2 linked regions of the Drosophila melanogaster genome follow. Changing the gene in region 2 together with the main gene of any one other region gives a genetic interaction. Each region holds a gene or a part of one and is shown on either strand. Other genes may lie near its edges.

Region 1 (3,600 bases), on a different chromosome or scaffold from region 2:
TCGTTTCGTAAGCAAATTAGCTTGGTTTCAAGGTTCTCAAAATAGATCGGAAGCTTGGTGCTCGAAAAAACAATAACAAACCAATCATCAATTCGGGTTGGATTCATCTAAGCTTCGAAAGAAGCATTAGATATATGTATAGCCTACAGCGTTTCCCAATTTTCTCTCAGTTTTTCAATAATAAACGAACCTTTTTTGTGTAAAATGTGGCTGATATGAATGAATTTGCGTGAAATTCTCAAGATTTTATTGGCCTAAATATAGTGATCTGCCTTCGAAGGTTACAAATACAACAATTAATTAATTCCCAGCAGTCTTTTCTGAGCTCTTTCCACACAGTCGGCATTCCGCACTAGACGGACAGGTAACACAGGATTTGTGTTTTCCATTTTCTCCACCGATTCTTTCTTAACCCAAACCACCACCTTTAACCCACTGTGCAACCTTTCGCTCGTTCTAATTATGCCGCGACTTTTTTCCTACAGCTTCTTCTAAAAGGTTCATGCTATTTTCGTTGACTTTTTTGTAGTTCATTGTCATGATAATTAAGGCCACCGGTTATAGATTTAGTTCAATAGCCATGTGTACACTTAAAGATTTGTTCCACAAAAGAGAGCACCGATCCTCAGATTGTTCTAATCTTGAGCCTGTGAGCAACCATTTGTTTTCTGCACAGGCTGTGGAGTAAATTGCGAATGGAGCGCCGCGCTGCAATTATCTTTGGATTTGCCCAAGGAACTGATAGATCGGCGGCCGTTTTCTTGGCCATTGTTGTGGAATGTGGATTCTAACTTGTCCATTTAGGTTCACAACAGCACCAATACACCTGCACTCGGCCACATGCATGCATGCCGTGCACGGCTGCACACCCCTACACATGTGCACTTGTTGTGCTGCCGCTGCTGCTGCAGAGGAAAAACGGATTTTCCAGGCTTGCAAGTGTGTGTGTTCGTATGGGGAAAATTATGCAAATGCCGAGCGCTACTTAAATCAATTACGAGCGCGAATTCCTCATTATTTAAATCATGATTAAATAGTTACTCGCGCATTAACGGTACTCCGCACAGTGTCGCCCTCTGCTTCTTCTGTTTTTGTCTGTTTTTTTATCTCTTGCCATATTTTTCATGGCTCTTTTACTGCCTCTTCTCACTAAAATCAACTCAAAAGTCTACTGCGATTGTGTTTTCTGGGTGAGAAATAGACGAAAAGAAGTTTCGAGTGCGAAAACGCGAAGCTCGCATTCGAATCGCAGCTTGGGATCGCACAGAAAATCGTAAACACGTTCGCAGCGGAGCCCCTCTTCTACTTGGCCAAAACTACCAAGCAGATAAAACGGCTAAAGCAGCTAAATTGGAGCTAAAACAACGACGACAACGCGTGCGAAGCGCCTTAATTAAAGACGAACGTCGCCTGGGATCCCGATCTCTGAATTGACCCGCAGTGAAAGTCAACTTGCACACACGATATACACCATGGTTTATGGTTTTTGCCCCCGGCCGATTTTTTAGGGCGCCAAGTGGGAGAAATGCGCTGCACTGCGAACCGGAATGCCAAAAATCGCACCTGTTGCTCGTCGCGATCGAAATTTGAATGCCAAGCCTGGCTTGCTGCGAGCAGTGCGACCATGGCGTGCGCAAAGTAGTTTGACCAGCGTGGATGGTCACACCAGGCGAGCTTCGATGTGAACGGGTTTGCTTTTATTTTATCTGCACGTCTCCAATAATAATTTACGAGCGGAGAATGAAACATATATATACATCCTCCCATTTGACTTAAAGATTGGTTACAAAATAAATAAATAAGTAATAATTCATTGTCCAATGTGCATATAATATTTAGTTATTAAAGTAAGTACATACTATTATTGAGTGCTTTGAATAAACATGTACGTGAGAACACTTTGCATTTAAATTTTAAATTTGTAGCGCCTGTTATTTACCTCTACCGTCCCTTTGCAACACTGCTTCCCAGTGGCTGGCACTCGCAGAAGAAGAAGCACCTGGCAATCAGCTGTTCCAAACGACAAGACGCGCATTTGTTTGACTTTCAACGGCGGACTCGAAAAAGCGCAAATTGAAATGTGTTGCCGCAAGATTTGCGCACCAGTCTTGTAAGGGCCAATTGCGGCTATAATTTCATCGCCTTTGCTGACAACCCACTTGGCTGGCAGCACGCGCATGCTCGGCAATCGCGATTTATCGGCCGACAGGACGAAGGACGAGACGTAGAGAAATGCTAGGCATCGCGAATTGGAGAAGCGGCAGGAACTCGACTTTCAGTGCTCAGTGCTCAGCGGAATTTGGTGGCATTTCAACGTGTTTTCGGGCGCACCAATCGCCAAAATCAGTATTTATTGTTGCACGCCACCATCCGTGTGTGTGTGTGTGTCGCGTAACGGCGGGTGTGTGAGTGTGTGTGGCGAGGGGCGGCGAAAAGGTATTGGAAACCTTAGAAAGTAGAAAGTTAAAAGTGCCAAGTTAGTGCAAAAGTAAATTCCGACATTGGGGTGACTGCCGTCTCTTTTTTCGCAGTCTGTCTGCTGGTGGTGGCTCGTCCTCTTTCTCCGCCTCCTGCTCCTCCTCCTGCCTCTCAAGCCCATCCTCCGTGCCCCCATCTTCCCATTCTTTCTAAGGCAAAGAAAAATCACAGTGCACGCTCGATAAAGGGAACATGCCAACAGGAAAGTACGTGTTTTGAGAATCCTTACATTGCTGCCTTAATGGTACTGTGAATTTAAAGTTCTTACTAATATTACTACAGTATTGAAACTATCTTTCCTTTGAGAATCTAAATAACTACTTTTGCTTGCCAGTTAACTGTAGCGAGCGCGCACTGTGCATTTTTGTGAATGTGTGAGCCATGAATATGTGAAAAACAAAGACGGCACTGGCTGCGAATAAAAATCAATATTGATAGTAATTTCTCGGATGCTCTCTGCTCCTCCGCTCCTCGAGACCTTCCCACAGGAAGCGCAGTCAGGTGGTCATTGTCCGCTCCAGCGCCCCGGCTGCCCATGCTCCCATTTCCCATCTTTCCCATGTTCCCACTTGCCCATTTTCCGCACTATCCGGCTGCTTTGCCGCCCCCCTTTTTGGGGGTGATTCATTGGGCGCACGAAGTCAGAATTCCATCAGCGACGACTCCCTTCCGCCTGGGAATGTGGAAACGCGGTCGCCATTAAATATTGATTCGATCCTGGACTGCAGCACGCTACGTCAGGAAAACATATACAAAAACGATTAAAGAGCAATTTGCAAAGCGGCCAATAAAATGCAAAGTAAATAAATGGGCCGCAACTCAATTTGACCAGCAATTTTAACAGTTTATCGTTCGGCGAAAGTACACACGCATAAGCCACACTCGAAATTAAATCAAAGTCAATATTGCAACTGAAACAGAAACTGGAACAGTGAAGATGAAAACGCGCCTCGTCTCGCTGACTTTCCGCGGCAGTGCATCCGTGGATCCGCGCTATTCCGCCTCCATGCTGCCGTGGACCATTAACGATATCAGGTCCACGGAGAGCTACACGAAGGTAAATATTACATATATTATTATGAAACAAATAACTCTACATTGGCTTAGAAACTAATTGGGCTA
Region 2 (3,957 bases):
CCCAGGGAGGCGTGGCGGCCTTCTACAAGGGCATCACGGCCAGCTACTTTGGAATCTGCGAGACGATGGTGCACTTTGTCATCTACGAGTTTATCAAGTCCAAGTTGGTAAGTAGTTGAATTTAATGCGCACTAGTTTCCCTCCGACTTAAAATCGCTTTCACAAACAGCTAGAGCAGCGAAATCAGCGGCATACGGACACCAAGGGATCCCGCGACTTTCTGGAGTTCATGATGGCTGGCGCTGTTTCCAAAACCATCGCCTCCTGCATCGCCTATCCCCACGAAGTGGCACGCACTCGTCTGCGGGAGGAGGGCAACAAATACAACTCCTTCTGGCAGACCCTGCACACTGTTTGGAAGGAGGAGGGCAGAGCAGGACTCTACAGGTGGGTAAAATAGATGAGCAGAGTGAATTTTCAATTTGATACGACATTAAGGCAATCAACTTGTACTTAGGGATTCCCTTGTTCGTGTAGTTCCCTTGAATCCGTCTTGAAATAGAATCGAAGGGAATCCCACTTGCACTCCGACATGTATATAAGAAACATATACATATAAGCTAATGAATTATCATAATGTGCCACCCACGAATTCGTGAAATCTATTTAAATTCTTTTGCGTCGCATATTTTTTGTTTGTTTACCTTAATTTGATTATCACTCTCGAGCGTGCTCACTCGAGGTGTTTTATATATGAGAGCTCTACCTTAGCAAATTCTCCTACTAATTGTAAACTTTACCAACTATTTCCACAGAGGCTTGGCCACGCAGCTGGTGCGACAGATTCCCAACACGGCGATCATGATGGCCACCTATGAGGCGGTCGTCTATGTGCTCACGCGGCGCTTCAACAACAAATCGAACGAGTTCTACGACTTTTAGATGCCTTTCAAAGGACTGGAGAAGGAGTAACCCAATCTGTGCATATGTAGACGCGACTGCTGCAACTTTATGTAATTTTATCCCTCGTTTTTAAACGATCCAAACCAACGAGCGCAAATTCTTAGTTAACTAGCTTCTAAGTCAGATATGAAACGAACTCGATAGACTTAAGACGTTAGACGTTGAACGTTGGCCAACCAATCGAAAAAAAAAAAGAAGCAAACAAAGAAAAAACCAATAATGGGAAACACGCACCAGGATCGAAGTGCACCATCCACACCCTAAACCCACTTGCTGCATGCCACAGAAGGATGTGGTATGCCACCGCAGGGCGAAACGTTATCAAAATTTGAAAAGGCTGCTATTTAGTTAAAGTTACAATATATATTGAGTGTATAAATGTGGTTGATACTTGGATAATATAGTGTACATAGGACTCGATTCGCTCAGAGTGCATTGTAAATAGTTAAAGAGTGAGTTCGCTGGCGTAGTTTTCTTAGTTGTAAGCACAAAATGTTGAATCGGCCGCAGTTGCCAGTAGATGCCGCTAAATATATATATATATAGATATAAAGCCGACCGATCCGATTCGTAAACTGTAAAAGTTTCCGTTAAGTTTCCTCAAATGCGATATACGATTTAGTTATCATTACTCTACTATATTACTTTAACTATATTGATACAATTTTTGCTGTTTATTTAGTCCATTAGTTAGCTAGTTAGTTAGTTATCCCCCCCCCCTCCACGCAAAACGTATTTCACTGATAATGAGCAAAGAACTAAGGAAACCACTGTGAATAATTGATTGCAATCCGATTTGATGGTGAAATCAATAAATACAACAATTTTGTTTAAAAATAACCCACTCGTTTCCCATTTAATATATATGTACATTATCTTATCTTAACAATCGTCTGCAGTCGAACATAGTTCATCTTGGCTAACCAGACTGCCGCCCATAAAAGTGAGATGAGATAAGCCGATTTGGCCAAGATAATACGATTTCGCACAACTAAATTAAAGTGATTTATTGGCTAGCTACTACACTGCGAAAGTAGTGGTAGCTTATTGTAAATATTTTATTTTTCTGAATTTCAAAAATTTAGATCCTGGTTCGGGTACGTGCTAAAAACATAGCATAGCCTGGTTCACAACCTATGTGCTCCATCGAAGATCTCCACCACGTGAGCGATCGCAGTTGTAGTCCATCTATATCACGCCACCACCACGCTCAGCGACGTAACAAAGTGCCGTCTCTAGTAACGTAAGCAGTGTTTCGAGCAACAAGTTTATTTTATTTTCATAAACAAAGTTTGTTTAAAGCGAAAAATCCTGGCCAAAGTGCTAATTCGTTGGCTATTCCGCGAGCAACCTTGATAACGAGTCGCAGAGCAGTCATAGAGCAGCGCAATTAACCCCGATACAAAGCAATCAGTGCAATTGGAGCAGCTTGAAAGGCACACGCCAACAAATCGAGATCGAGCTGATCGAGTCGCGTTGACACCCATCATTCCGCCATGCAAATCGATGCACTGGAGGCCTGAATATGCTGCTCAGCGAGACCCATTTCTGGACCACGTTGCGCGAGGATGTGGTGCGGATCAAGAGCCAGGACCTGGGCGCCTTTCGCTACCTCAGGCAGCGCGACAAGGAGCAGGAGCAGCAGGACCTCGCCTGCCTGGCCAAGCGAGACTATACGGAGCGTCGCAATGGACTGGCCGTGCTGAAGAACTCTGGTCGCAAGTCCACCGGCCGCTTGAAGGACAACCTCAAGAAGCTGGAGGACCTGCTGCGCCAGCACAGGATCATCCACTCCGAGTGGCAGGACGCGGCGCAGGTGCTGCTCCTCTTCTCACACGGCCTGATCGCCCACATCTGCGTGGACATCTACACGGGCGACATTCTGCGCATGGTCTTCGAGAAGTACCTGGTGGGCAAGCTCGCCTCCGAGGTCATTACGGATGGTATGTGCGATTCTCTCCTTTCACCCGCTCCAGCCCGCCCTCCATCGCATTAGAGCCATCCATCAATCAGCTTGGGCATTGCATTTCTGCATGTGCAGCTCGACTGGCAGACATCTCAACTTGCAGCGTTCGAAAATCAGTTAATATGCGTTAACATCACGCAATACATAATGGCTATTTCAGGCGTAATTAAAGGTTCCTCATCATTAGAACGAATTACCAAGACAGCTTGCTAGAAACACATGCATGCCATTTAATTATTCACTAAGCTCTCAGCTATAAAAGCTGTCCTGCATTTAGTTCTTTGTGCTGTTTGCCGCTTGTCATCCAGGGTATCAGTCATTCGATAGAGTGCAGTCCGCATTTGGCCTTGCTCCGCGGAGTGCTGCTTGTGCAGTTATGGAGAAATTTGCATTGGCAACAAGTGCGACTTGATTTGCACTTTCCCACACCAACACAGCCGCACGCACACATGCAGGGCATGCAATTATTGTAATTTTTAATTAATCTGCTGGCTTGTTTTGTTGCCTGTAAATATGCGAACCCCCAACCCCTTTCCCCCATCCACCATCCTCCGGCTTTCCATGTTTTGTTCGAGCCACTCATTCAGCTTTGTCGCTTGTGTCTCTTTTCTCGTCGTGCGCCCGCATCCGTTGTCTCGCCAGCTTTTTTCACCCGTTCCCACATCGTCTTGGCCTACAATACCAACCAGCTGACGGTGGTGCATCTGCAGAGGCCTAATGCTCGCTCCCAGGGACCGGAGAAGATCGCCAATATGGATCCGCGCATCTTCCACGTGATCATACCGGGCGCCACAGAGCGCAAACTATCCCGCCACCTCACAGTTAACGCCAGCTTCGATCTGTTCGTGGTTTGGACGCAGTCCTCGCAGAACGAGGTGTATCCCTGGAGGCCAACGATAAGGGACCAAGATCGTGCCAACATACATGTGTTCAAGATCAAGGGGTAAGTTGCACAGTACAACTCCCACTCCATGGCCCAGTCTAATCGCTTTGCTCAGCTTGCAGCTGGAATCGATTGCCTATTGCTGGTCGGAGAACGATCCGCTGTGCGTGGACTTCCTGCGAAGCAGCGAGAGCCAGATCATCAC

Evidence for each region. Genes that interact genetically often act in the same process or in processes that back each other up.
Region 1: of frtz (region 2) and Rab23, changing one enhances a phenotype caused by changing the other (phenotypic enhancement), as found in Drosophila melanogaster (one study listed by BioGRID).

What each region holds. Positions count from the first base shown.
Region 1 is NT_033777.3:5,683,835-5,687,434, forward strand, and holds the start of Rab23 (Rab23), read right to left. Parts: upstream 1,601-3,600; 5' UTR 1,564-1,600; intron 1-1,563. Other genes in the region: plx (pollux), read left to right, coding at 3,416-3,535.
Region 2 is NT_033779.5:1,714,028-1,717,984, reverse strand, and holds the start of frtz (fritz), read left to right. Parts: upstream 1-2,133; 5' UTR 2,134-2,428; coding exon 2,429-2,846; intron 2,847-3,511; coding exon 3,512-3,812; intron 3,813-3,867; coding exon 3,868-3,957. Other genes in the region: Rim2 (replication in mitochondria 2), read left to right, coding at 1-107, 170-387, 756-882. UniProt on the Drosophila melanogaster protein: Probable effector of the planar cell polarity signaling pathway which regulates the septin cytoskeleton in both ciliogenesis and collective cell movements. Functions cell autonomously to regulate wing cell hair polarity and number.